Oryzias latipes: one gene and its partners. The protein of the gene in region 3 binds, or shares a complex with, the protein of the main gene of each other region. Links are inferred from orthologs where the notes say so. Each region holds a gene or a part of one and is shown on either strand. Other genes may lie near its edges. The genes, in order: rhno1, hus1 and rad1.

Region 1 (3,257 bases), on a different chromosome or scaffold from region 3:
TCCTTCTTCCAAACAACCGTTAAGTCGCAACTCACTAAAAAAATCAAACTAAAAACATTCTCAGTTAATTGTCATCAATTCTATAATTATCAGGAGTTGAATATCAAAGCTACCGTACAACCGTTAGAAGCTAACGTTAGCTGCTTCAGCCCGTTTTCCGATGTTTGCGATGCCGCGTTTTATCAAAGTTAAAGGCGACACTTAAGTTTTCCCAACACAATTCCACGGACACGAGCGGGATTTTCACGCCACAATAGACAAAACTGAAGACCAAAGAAGTCCGTGAATAAGTAAGGATGTATTTTCAAGGCTTTACTCTTACCTTATGCTGTAATAACTCATGTTTATGCACGGTTACTAAGGAAAAGGCTCCTCGAAGAAAAACGCTTTTTGCGGACGCAGGAGCTGCGGATGAATACTCTGCCTTGGCAACCAAGCGGACCAATAACGAGCACTCCTATTGGCCGGCTGTTTTCCTAGAAGGAATCTAATTGGTTTACATCTGGGGAAAAGGTGGGAACAATAAAAGGTTTTCTCTAAAACGAAATGGGCTTCAAATGACCATCCAGTATGACTTAAATTTCTAATATGTGTTCAAAACTTAGAAAAATAAATAATTATTAATCAGATGTCAAATTCATTTATTTTTCATTTGATTCTTGTCAGGCAACATCAGGAAAAAATAATATTATTTGGGTGTGCAAGAGAAATGAAAAAGGATTTTTTACAAAAATTAAAAGATTTATGATAGAATAAACTTAAGTGACTAATCGAGGAGGCCCCTTTCCTTTAATATGATCATCAATCCCTTTCTCCTCCTCCACGTCACCTTCACCCCATAGTCCCTCTCTGGTGTGTCGGAGACCAAAACATTAGGATGAAGATGACACTGCGGGGAGGAGGGATCAGCCAGCAGTGAACAAACAGGGGGAGACATGGGGCAACTGTTCTGCTTCATTGTTGGAGTGTCCACTTCAGGAGGCGGGTCAACATTGCCAAGTCTAGGGCTACTACACCCACCGGGTGGAGTTCTGCTTTCCTCCGTTACCTCTATTAACTGATTTTCAGGTTGGTGCAAATATTCACTGTGAGATGGAGCTCTGTTTAAAGATTTTTGAGGATTTCTTCGTCTCTTAGGTGCAGGTAAAACTGTCCTATTGCTTTGACATGATCCCTGTGGTTGATCTTCAGGCATTGACGTCACCTCTGCCGCTTTCTTTGTGCGCTGTCCACTTGGATTATGGGACTTGTCTCTCTCCGCCCTAAGAAATAATAACGATGGGTATTTGCACACTTTGTGTTTCCTGGACAGCTCGTTGCACGTGTCAAGAATCCTTGTGACGGACTGACAATTTCTTCTTCCTCGTCTAAATGGAGGTGTAGCTGAGATGTCAAACTGGGGTTGAACCTGAAAGGTTGGGAAATTTATAGTTAAGTAGACTTTTTTGCCAGTTATCTAATCAACTAAATCTATATTTGTAATGTTTTATATATTTTTATATATTTAAAAGACTTTTACCCAGGAACTGAGAGCTGAAGAGCTGTGTGTCTTGGAGAAAAACTCTCTGGGATTGAGAGCAGCTCTGACTTCAGGCACATTTTGAAGTCTGGCGCCACTCACAGGTCGCTCCAGGAATTGCAGTGCAGGCTTGTCTGTCTTTGCCGCTTTCCGGGGCATCAATTTAAATCAATCTTAAGCATCTGTTCAAAACAAACAAGAGACAAATCCGATCGAGTAATCTTGTTAACAATACACATAGCTTTAGTCGTAGATCGAGGCTGTTTACATATTCGCATTCAAGTGTTTACTTTTGAAACGCGTTCTTTACTTACCATATTGTGCTTTTTCCGTGATTATGTGTCCATGTACGGAATACGGAATAAAAACGTTCCCTTATTTTTCGGTTCATTCAGACCTTTTTATCTTAGCTTGTCCGTGTTGTTGTTACTTTTAATTTCCCGGATTTTTTCTTTGTCTTCTTCGGGTTAGCGGCTGGCCATCTCGAGCTGCGGCCCACAGCGCCACCTATTGAGCCGCCCAGTGTTTTTTTCTGCGTTTACTATTGGTCCATTGTTACCATGTGATCAAAGTGACAGTCGGGGCAGCGCCCACAGCGCCAAAATTCAAAACTGTTTATGGATTGACTTTTTGTATCTAATTACTACTAAATACGTCGGTTTTGTGAATATTTTAAATGTTTTCTTTGATCCGACAAGTGGAATTGAAAGCCGAACCAAGCCTGGAATTGAATGAAACGCTGCAGTAATTCAGTAATGTGAAGGTCTGGCTTCATTTTTCCACTTGTTTCCTCCATCGTCAAACAGCTTTAGCATAGCTAGCTTAGCCTAGCTGTAAATAAAGGAAACTATACGCTAATCGGGACATTGGCTAGGCGCATGTTATTTTTTGAATTTATTTTTTGTTTTATTGATTGCATTGTGTTAACATGTAAATATATGTTGCACTGAATATCCACTAGATAGACGTTATTGAAATTAAACCTATCATCAACTGAAAATTATAACGACTGGCATGTCGCCAAGGGAACCGAATAAAATCTTCACTTTCGAGCGAGGGACTGTTGGGACTTTTGCAGCAAACAGACAGCAATAATCGGGTTTCTTTAAGTTTGAAGACGATATCATAGGATTGAAACATCATTTTTGACCGATTACTTCGTATTCTATTAGCAGGTATGTTGTTTTCAGGCTCACTAGTTCGGGGTTATCGTTAAAGTCAGTATTTAAACGTTGTAACGTAATGTATTGATAAGGTGTTTAACTTCTGAGTACTTTTTGAGCCATAACTGTAGCTCAAGACCTTTTCCCCCTCCCCACAGATTTCCATTGAACACCTAAGGCCCTTTGGATGATTTGAACCATGAGACGGAGCCCAAGGAGACCCCTGATCCTCAAAAGGCGCAAGTTACCTTTTCAACAAAAGGAACCCACCCCAGCAGACCCATCCAGGCAGTCCGGTGGCTCCAAAGAGCCGTCAAATTCCAGCGACAGTTCGTGCTTCCCAGACGGGGTCCGCTTTATAGGCCACCCATCCCTGTCAGACACTCAGGTTGTGGTCATTCCCAAAGCTACAGACGTTCAGAGTGTAATTAGTGTCCTCGCCGCTAAAGGCAAAGACAGCGGAGTTCAGGGTCCGAGCAAGTTTATTCTCCTGAGTGACAATGGCAATCAGGATCAAGCCGGATCTTTCTGTGAGACTGCTACTTCTGGAGGAGATGCTGTTTCCACACAAATCC
Region 2 (4,102 bases), on a different chromosome or scaffold from region 3:
ATGGGATATCATGATTATGAGAACCGAGATCATCTATACCGTAAAATTATCTAAACCCAGAAGAACCAACCTGAACCCTGAGACTGGGAGATTGTTAGTAAGCTTTTATGAAAATCACAGATCTTCCCTGAAGACAGTTTCTCCTAAGCTGAGGGGTCAAGTGCTCAGAGCAGGACTTACCAGCTCGGCGCAGACAGTCAGACAGGGGCAATGCTTCTTGGTAAGTTTGACTTTAACAGATTTGGCATTCTGGATCGTCTTCAGGGCTCTGGACAGGTTCTCTGGAGCCAACTCCAGACAAATCTCATTGTTCTCTGGAGAAACGCCCTCCATCTGGTACTCGTCGAAGAAGTTAGCCTGCAGTAGGTTTAAAATTGCTTAAAATATTCTTCCTGCAATGCCAAATCCAAACCAAAAGGTGGCGTTGCTCACCTGTGACAGCTCACACCACATGCTGACTCCTCCATTGGCCACTTTCCCTGACAGGACAAAGAAAAGGTTGTCCGGGTTGAGCCGCAGCACGCACGTCTTGGTCAGCTTGGAGATGGTGGTGACGACTCCTGGAGGAAGTTAGCAACCACTGTCAGTCCTGAGCACACACTGAACCCGTTTACTCCACATGTTCACCATTTCCTGTTACTCAGGGCTCCAGACTGCGACCATTTGGTTGCATTTTGCGACCAAAATTTGAGAGTGTGCGACTGAATTTTACATCTAGCATGTGCTAGATATCTACCAGTAAATTTGCCTCCCCCACCCTCCGTATTTTTTATACATTAAACGTGGAAGGGGCACGTCAATGATCAATGAAATGAGCAATGAAATAAACAATGAGACGATTTAGTCTTAGACGCACTTAAAACACGTGTGGAAAATGCAACAATAGTCGGGTTTACGATAAACCAGCGCCCTGGGGGGGGGGGGGGGGGGGGGGGGCATGAAGGCGAAGCTGCAGCGAGACTGAAGGAGAGCAGGAAGTTGTAGTCCTTAACATTCAATTTAGTTTTAACATGCCTCTCCCCTTAAGTATGATCTGTGATATTACATCTTTTATAATTATTTTAATGTTTTGGAATGTATGTAGCTTTTTTTAATCAGTTGGTATTTTAAATTATTTTAATTGATCAGTGAACTACAAAAAACCCATCAGGAAGCATGTCCCATAATGCATCGTTTTGTAGTCTGTAGGGCAGCTTTCAGTCAGTTCAGTGCTAAATTTCTAGCTGCGTTCGCTCAGGTTGAGGTCTTGCTTCCGCCCCTTTCTGGTGATATTTTTGTTTTGATTGACAGGTGATGTTGAGGAAAAACAAAAATATGTCTCACACCAGGTGATCTGTGCAGCGTTGCGTCCATCTGGGTGATCTCAAATTATTGTGCATCTTGGCTGCACCTATTTGGTGTCGCCAACATGAATTTCCATCCCCTAATGTTTACATACATTTAAGTATTGTTTGAAACTGTGAAATGACCGAAAGGTTACTACGGTATTCACTTGTTACTAAAAACTTTTTTTTAATGTATGGTATTTTGTTTACTATTTGTACTGTCATGACAGCGATGGTGCTGTCAGTTTACCTTGTTGCATCTTCAAAAGTGCAGAATAAAATATGACACTGAATTTGAAACAGCACGTTGTAATTTCGGCATCTATTATAAAAGTATTTATTAGTAATACAGTGGAAATTAATAGATTTGGTTAGCATGTTGATTTACAATATGCGCCCCTAAATTTTCTGGTTGTGGCCCTAAAATTTTCAGTTGGGGGCAACAGTGCTCCTAGTGAAAAAAGTTAATCTGGAGCCCTGTTACTGGATGTTTTCAGTCAACAGTTGGACAGCAAAATGAGATTTCCTTTACCAAATAACACCAATTATTCGATAATAATACGGCAGATTAACACATTTCTCCTCAAAACAGGCACATTTATTTATGTTTATTTAGTATTTTTTTATATCTGCACTCACTGGGTTTACCAGATAAGTGAAGTCAGGTTGTTTAAGCCAACTGCAGTTTTCTCTTTTAATACATTTTCGTTTGTTTCAAACTACTAGTTTCTAAAGTCAGTCTCTGGTTGCTATTATTGGTCACATTATCAATTAAATGTTAAAATATTTTAAAATGTTCGTCAAAAATAATTTAATTGAACATAATTGAAGGGCTTACTCATACATTTCAGGTACAGAAACAACAGAAATGCACACCTGAGGTTAAAAGCCCTTTAAAAATATATTTACAGAACTCCTATTCCCAACATGCAACGCGACACGACAAACGTTTTAAGTTTTTCAAAGTCGTCATTTAAGAGAATCATATTAGATTTATTTGCTGATCAGATTGAAGTGAATTTTTACACATACGAAATTTATAATGTGAATGAAAGTGGCTCGTAGATAACTGAATGTGACATCGTCGGCTCTCAGTTTTCGGTAGTTTTTTTTTTTTTTTTTTTTTGCTGTTTGAAGTGACTCACGGGTGAAGTGGTTCAGACACGCCACGTCCACGATCTTCCCCCGAAACTTCATCTGGACTCTGAGACCAAATACTGAGGTTTTCTGCTAAACACAGCTTCTGCGCATCAAACGCAGGCGGGAAACCATTAAAGCGCTCTGTCTTGGTTAGGTCCGTCTGCGTAAAATGTTCCCCGGAAACAAAACAATAATAGTTCCTGTCTGAACAGATACATAACTTATAAATCCAGAATATTCGAAAGTTGTTGTAAAAACTGAAACGAATTAGACTTGGTATTAAAAGGATAAATCAATCTTTATTTATACAGCACTGTATGCAGCTCAAAGTGCATTAAAAGTGTGACTATATAGTCAATGGTTAAAAATAATGTTGCAAAATTTATACACACCTACGCCCACATCAACAAACAAAAAAATAAAGATAAAATCAAGTCTAAAAATGTTAAAAATCTTAAAAGAAATTAACAAAAAAAACTTCTCACACAGGAAGAAAAGGAATAGGTCAAAAGTTGAACTGATTGTCAAAAAATAAATAAACACAATGTCAAACTTTAATAGCCTGCAGCAGTAATGAAATCCCAAATCTAATTAACAGACTCAGTAAGTTATAAAACCCTCTCAGAACTAACAAGTTTAGTTGAACAGCAAATGATCTGCTCCTCATGTCTAATAGATGATTAAAAATGTCAGCTGTGGTCCTTCAGAGACACAGGTGCATTCCCGTGTGTTGTGGTTATGATAAAGGTTAGAAAGGTCAAACTCAGTACAGAACCGTTGAGAGTTTTGGACGACAGGTCTGTGTGGGAATTTGGTTTTGAGCTGTTCAAAATTTTTAGTTTGTTGAAAATTACACAGTTTACGTGTATTTTGCATAGTTTACACGCAATTATTCTTACGCAATTGTGTGTGATTTTTGTGAGATGTATATGCAATTTTGTGGCTTTGCACGACCATTCCACGTATGTCTAACAGACTTTTCACGCATGTATAACTTTTATATCACGTCTACGGCGCACATATCACGTTAAAATTACTTTATTGGCGCACAAATCACTAAAGAATTCCATGTAAACGGCACAATGATCACACAAGGTTCATGATCTACAAGTCCTGGCTCCTCTGGCTGTTTGTTTCACCTGAAACCTTCAAAACTTTGGTCCTTCAAGATAGATTTGTGTGATGCTTGAGTTCAGTGAACGGAAGGAACAGATGGACTGTAAGTCGTCAGTAACTAAAGTAAATTGAATAAGTAAAGCCACATTCTGCTCCATCCTGATGTCAGACAAATAGATCCAAAGGTTTCTGACTGCAGAAATATTTCACTGCAGATCTTCTTTCCCTTCTTTCTTTTAAATATTTGCTGCATTTGTTTAAAAAGAAAAAAATGGTCATAGGTGAAACAGCAGGTCTTTGTGGGTGATTAGAGAAAGGCTCAGTCCTCTTTACCCAGAACTCAAACTTCAGCACGTTGGACACCATGTTTGGTCTTATCATCTGAAGAAGGTCAAACATTTTCACTCTGAGGGCAGACTGGTAAAAAGAAAACCTCCATGAGAGAGCTCTTTGTTTCCTGTCTGATTAATCCTCTTAAGAAGCTGCAGTTTCTGTTTGAAACAGGCTGGAGTAAAGGGTTG
Region 3 (4,218 bases):
TGAATTCTAAGAACAACACAGGTTTTTTGTTTGTTTGTTGTGTGTGACTAAAACGGCATCGTCATAATAACGAGGCCACTGGGAACCTTTTAAAAAAGATCACAAAGATGATTTGAGTGGGACTTTAAAGTCCAAATGATACAAATAAAAAGACGTCCAATCACAAGCTTGCTTCTACCTGGTCGGGCCAATTACAATTGTCTAAAGGGGAACTACAGGGAGGGATGCGTTTTGTGTGCTATAAACATATTACAATCCTTTTTTCCCCACAGGACTGCAAACAAGGCCTAAATCAAATAACCACAAGGGGAAAATCAATATTAAAGACGCAGAATACCAAGTCTTTATGTTTGAAGCTTCTATGTTAAGGACTTTGCTTAATTGATAAAAGTAAAAAGTGGCAGTAAGTAAGTTTCTCTCGTTGGCATTTTGTTTATAGTTTTATAAATGAATAATAAATACATTGTCTACAATTAGGTAGAAGATTTGGACTGTATCATATTGCCACAAAGTTTGATTCATCTATTTGTGTCCATTTGTGGACCGTGTATTGAGATTTGAGCGCTGCTCTACCTTTGAATTCCATTCAATTCAATTTTATTTGTATAGCCCAAAATCACAACAACAGTCATCTCGATGGGCTTCGAAGTAAAACATGAACTCAAAAGGATCATGAATACAAAGAGTTCAATAGGAAAATACTAAAAAGAACTAACAAACTGACTAAGCTATACTGGCATCCCTGCCCTTAGACCCCCCTTCGCGGTAAGGAAAAACTCCTAAAAAACCATTTGTCCAAAAACAATTTTAACAAACTTTGTTTGACCAACTCAGTTTGATTGCTTTAAAGCAGCAGGAAAATTGAGTAATTAAAAGAAAAAAATATAAGGAGAACAAAGCCTCAAAAGGTGGCGCTGTAGTCCCAAAAGTAAGATAAACATTTGACAGTTAGACAGACAGCCTGATGAGCTAGCTTAACTTGAACTGCGTCAGCAAAGTTGATGAAGCTTAAGTTAGCTGCCTCAGTTATTCAGCTTTATTAAAGGACTATTTCGGATCTATCTAATATATATTCCATTATTTAAAAACGACATGTATCTATTTCTAGTATTTTTTTTTTCCCTGAGGGAAACAGTTCTAGAGAAATATATGTCTCACCGGTACGTAGTGAGTTAGCTTCCAACTTCTCGTGCTCTTTTTGCGGCTTACATAACGAACACGGAAAACCAGCAGACATGGTGTCAAGCCAGATAATTTCAATAAACTTACCCTTTTTTCTAAATACGATCACAAACCACCGGCCTTAGTAGAGACAGCTGTTGCGGTCACGAAGAGTTGTTCAGTTTCGACTCAGGAGCGAAATCTCTGGAACATAGTGTGCCGCACAGAAACGCAACTTCCGTTGAGGGAAGACCAAACCGGAAGTTGCTACAAATCGGGCGCATTTCTTCGATACATGTCCGCAGTTTTCCAACCAACCAGGACAATTATAGATCAGTGGAGCACCCCTTTAAAAGCAAGTTAAAAAAAGGTAAAAGTTGCTTTTGTGTCGTTTATTACTCCTTATCTCAAGCTGCAAAGCTGAAAAAGTAGCCTAGCTAACACAGCTAATTTATTAACATGGCAAAGTTGAAGGAAATTCTGAAAATATTATTTAAGAAAAACATACGACAGAAACACTATTAGCAGCTAATTTGATAGCAGTAAAGTCATCATTCTGAACTACCTCACAATGCAAAATAAAACCGTTAATTAAGGAATTTCAGTGAATTCACAACAGCTAAAATAAACATCAGAAGCTAAAGAAATATATATTTTAATTCAGTTTGAAGAGTTTGATTAATTTTTAGACATTAAAGCTGAGTTGAGAAAACTCAGCTTTAATGAGTTTTCTCATTAAAGCTGAGTTTAATGATCTCATTTCTCATCTTCTTGATGCAACATTGATTCCTCAAACCTTATTATGTGATCATTAAATACAATTAGAAAAAAGGTTGCTTTCTAATGTTAGAAATATTGATATTAGTAATATAATTTTTTCTCCTAATGATTTTTAATCCCGAATAATAAGTTTTAATTAAATTCAGTCCTATCAGAATTAACCTGCCGAATGTCCATCAAATAGATTCAATATGTTGGCATTAATACCCAGAAAGCTGAAATGTTTTTTGCTGAAATAAATAGTGTATTTGTTTTGTTTTAGATTCTTGCAAACCTGTTTTTGTCTTTCAGCAGAGCAATGCCTCTGTCCACACAGTCTCAGGACGATGAGGAACACTATGTTTTAGTAGCCAGTTTGGACAACGCTCGCAATCTCTCCAACATCCTAAAAGCTATCACTTTTAAGGATCATGCAGTCTTCACAGCAACACCCAACGGCCTAAAGGTCACTGTGGAGGACTCCAAATGTCTTCAAGCCAATGCATTCATCCAGGTGTGTGTGCAGTCTTTGTTTTTGGATTTGCATCCATCAATTTTGTATTCGAAATCCTGACTGAAGAGAAGTTGTTCTGTTTTCACTCCAGACAGAGATCTTTCAGGAGTTCACCCTTAAGGAAGATTTGGTGACTTTTCAGATCAACCTCACTGTTCTGCTGGATTGCCTAAATATCTTTGGAGGAAATGCAGTAGCAGGTAAAGAATTTTTTTTTTTTTTGCACAATTCAAACTTAGTTCCAACCCTTTTTAGATCTTTTTTTGTTGTGACTTTGCAGGAACTTCTACTGCCTTACGAATGTGCTACAAAGGTTATGGATACCCTCTGACTCTCTTCCTGGAGGAGGGGGGCGTGGTGACAGTCTGCAAGATTAACACACAAGAACCTGAAGAACCAATGGATTTTGAGTTCTGCAGCACTAACGTTACAAATAAGGTTCCCGTCATCATTTGTCTTTTTGTGAAAAAGCTTCATCTTTTGAAAGATGATTTTTTTTTTAATTGAATTAGAAAAAACAGTGAAAGTAATATCTTACTTAATTACATCCAGGTGCTTAGTAGCTTGAAGTCTCGCATTTGTGTGTTTATTATGAAATCCTTTGGGAAAAAAATGCCCTTTTTAAAGGTGATTTTGCAGTCGGAGAGTCTGAAGGAAGCTTTCTCTGAACTGGACATGACCAGTGATGTGCTTCAGATCACCATGTCCCCCAGCCAGCCGTACTTCAGGTGAGCTGCTAAAACCTGCTTGCTGTTCTCCTGCACTGAATAAACAGTCTGCCTTCATCAGAAAGCAAAAAAAGATATGATATATTTAAGCTTTAAAAAATGCTTTACTGTTTGATCTGTTTAAGGTTGTCAACATTTGGGAACTCTGGAAATGCACATTATGATTATTCCAAAGACTCGGACATGATGGAGCTGTTTCAATGCACCATGACGCAAACGAACCGGTATGTGCAGATATCAGAAGAAACGTGCATCATTAAAGCCAAAAGATGACCTGAAATAAAAAACATTTCAAAAATGTTTTAATTTTGAAGATTCTCCTAAACATCTTTCAACTATTCTTTTTGTTTAAACATCTGCCACCTTACATATAACAGAGAGGGAAAAAAAGGCTCATCATTCATGTCTTCTTCTGTTTCATGAATCATGACAGATATAAGATGTCCCTCCTGAAGCCGTCCACCAAAGCCCTGGCTCTGTCCTGTAAGGTCTCAGTGAGGACAGACAACAGGGGCCTCCTCTCCCAGCAGTACCTGGTCAGGAATGATGACGGACAGATCTGCTTTCTGGAATTCTACTACTGTCCTGATGAGGAGGTGGAGGAGGAGGAGGAGGAATGACATTTAGACTGACCCAAACTAGCATTTTAACTGCAGTGGTTTCCAGTTGCTCTTAAAAAAAAACAGCCAAGAAGAGGAACTCTGTCAGGAGGCAATCCCAGTCTGATGAATGCAAACATAGAAAGATGACTGCTTCATTTAACGCAAGCTTTTGAGCTAAAGTCTTGACTAAATGTCTTGTAATGTGGGTATTTGCCGTCTGAACAGAAACTGAATCAAAACAAATAAACCAGAAGGGGCACTAAAAGGTCATTTCTAAAGATTAGAAATGCAGTGATGACACCTTTTCAGTTCTGACATGCAGCCAAGTCCCCCTTTTATCTTCCGTCTAGCTCTGCAGAGGAACGTACCATTTTCCTGATATGAGGGGAAGGTCGGTAAAGTTGATGCTCAAATCTAAAGGAGTTTCCTATTTATTGGATGTGTTTAGTATTTG

What was found.
Region 1: the proteins of rad1 (region 3) and rhno1 are in contact, whole or in part, in a crystal structure (PDB 6J8Y), measured with the Homo sapiens proteins. The link is inferred for Oryzias latipes from reciprocal best matches to the Homo sapiens genes RAD1 and RHNO1. Residues at the interface, in NP_002844.1 of Homo sapiens: Asn47, Gly48, Ile49, Lys50, Phe64, Ile65, Gln66, Ser149, Lys155, Ile157, Glu211, Ala212, Lys240, Val241, Ser242, Arg244, Gln254, Tyr255, Met256, Phe266, Glu268; in NP_001239428.1 of Homo sapiens: Ser55, Trp56, Val57, Ser58, Pro59, Asp60, Phe61, Asp62, Thr63.
Region 2: the proteins of rad1 (region 3) and hus1 are in contact, whole or in part, in a crystal structure (PDB 8GNN), measured with the Homo sapiens proteins. The link is inferred for Oryzias latipes from reciprocal best matches to the Homo sapiens genes RAD1 and HUS1. Residues at the interface, in NP_002844.1 of Homo sapiens: Asn85, Val88, Asp91, Cys92, Ser94, Ile95, Phe96, Gly97, Ser98, Gly127, Val128, Val129, Thr130, Val131, Cys132, Lys133, Ile134, Asn135, Gln137; in NP_004498.1 of Homo sapiens: Thr165, Ser168, Val169, Lys172, Met173, Asn175, Ile176, Glu197, Leu198, Val199, Cys200, Val201, Thr202, Thr203, His204, Phe205, Lys206.

Annotation. Positions count from the first base shown.
Region 1 is NC_019881.2:18,846,695-18,849,951, forward strand, and holds rhno1 (RAD9, HUS1, RAD1-interacting nuclear orphan protein 1), read right to left. Parts: upstream 1,998-3,257; 5' UTR 1,834-1,997; intron 1,702-1,833; 5' UTR 1,679-1,701; coding exon 1,520-1,678; intron 1,409-1,519; coding exon 767-1,408; 3' UTR 646-766; downstream 1-645. Other genes in the region: foxm1 (forkhead box protein M1), read left to right, coding at 2,882-3,257. UniProt on the Homo sapiens protein: Involved in microhomology-mediated end-joining (MMEJ) DNA repair by promoting recruitment of polymerase theta (POLQ) to DNA damage sites during mitosis.
Region 2 is NC_019878.2:4,320,181-4,324,282, reverse strand, and holds the start of hus1 (checkpoint protein HUS1), read right to left. Parts: upstream 2,810-4,102; 5' UTR 2,523-2,809; coding exon 2,471-2,522; intron 561-2,470; coding exon 433-560; intron 358-432; coding exon 181-357; intron 1-180. UniProt on the Homo sapiens protein: Component of the 9-1-1 cell-cycle checkpoint response complex that plays a major role in DNA repair. The 9-1-1 complex is recruited to DNA lesion upon damage by the RAD17-replication factor C (RFC) clamp loader complex.
Region 3 is NC_019870.2:9,822,240-9,826,457, forward strand, and holds rad1 (cell cycle checkpoint protein RAD1), read left to right. Parts: upstream 1-1,375; 5' UTR 1,376-1,528; exon of another isoform or gene 1,529-1,531; intron 1,532-2,230; exon of another isoform or gene 2,231-2,233; 5' UTR 2,234-2,239; coding exon 2,240-2,434; intron 2,435-2,525; coding exon 2,526-2,634; intron 2,635-2,714; coding exon 2,715-2,872; intron 2,873-3,061; coding exon 3,062-3,162; intron 3,163-3,287; coding exon 3,288-3,386; intron 3,387-3,595; coding exon 3,596-3,782; 3' UTR 3,783-4,029; downstream 4,030-4,218. UniProt on the Homo sapiens protein: Component of the 9-1-1 cell-cycle checkpoint response complex that plays a major role in DNA repair. The 9-1-1 complex is recruited to DNA lesion upon damage by the RAD17-replication factor C (RFC) clamp loader complex.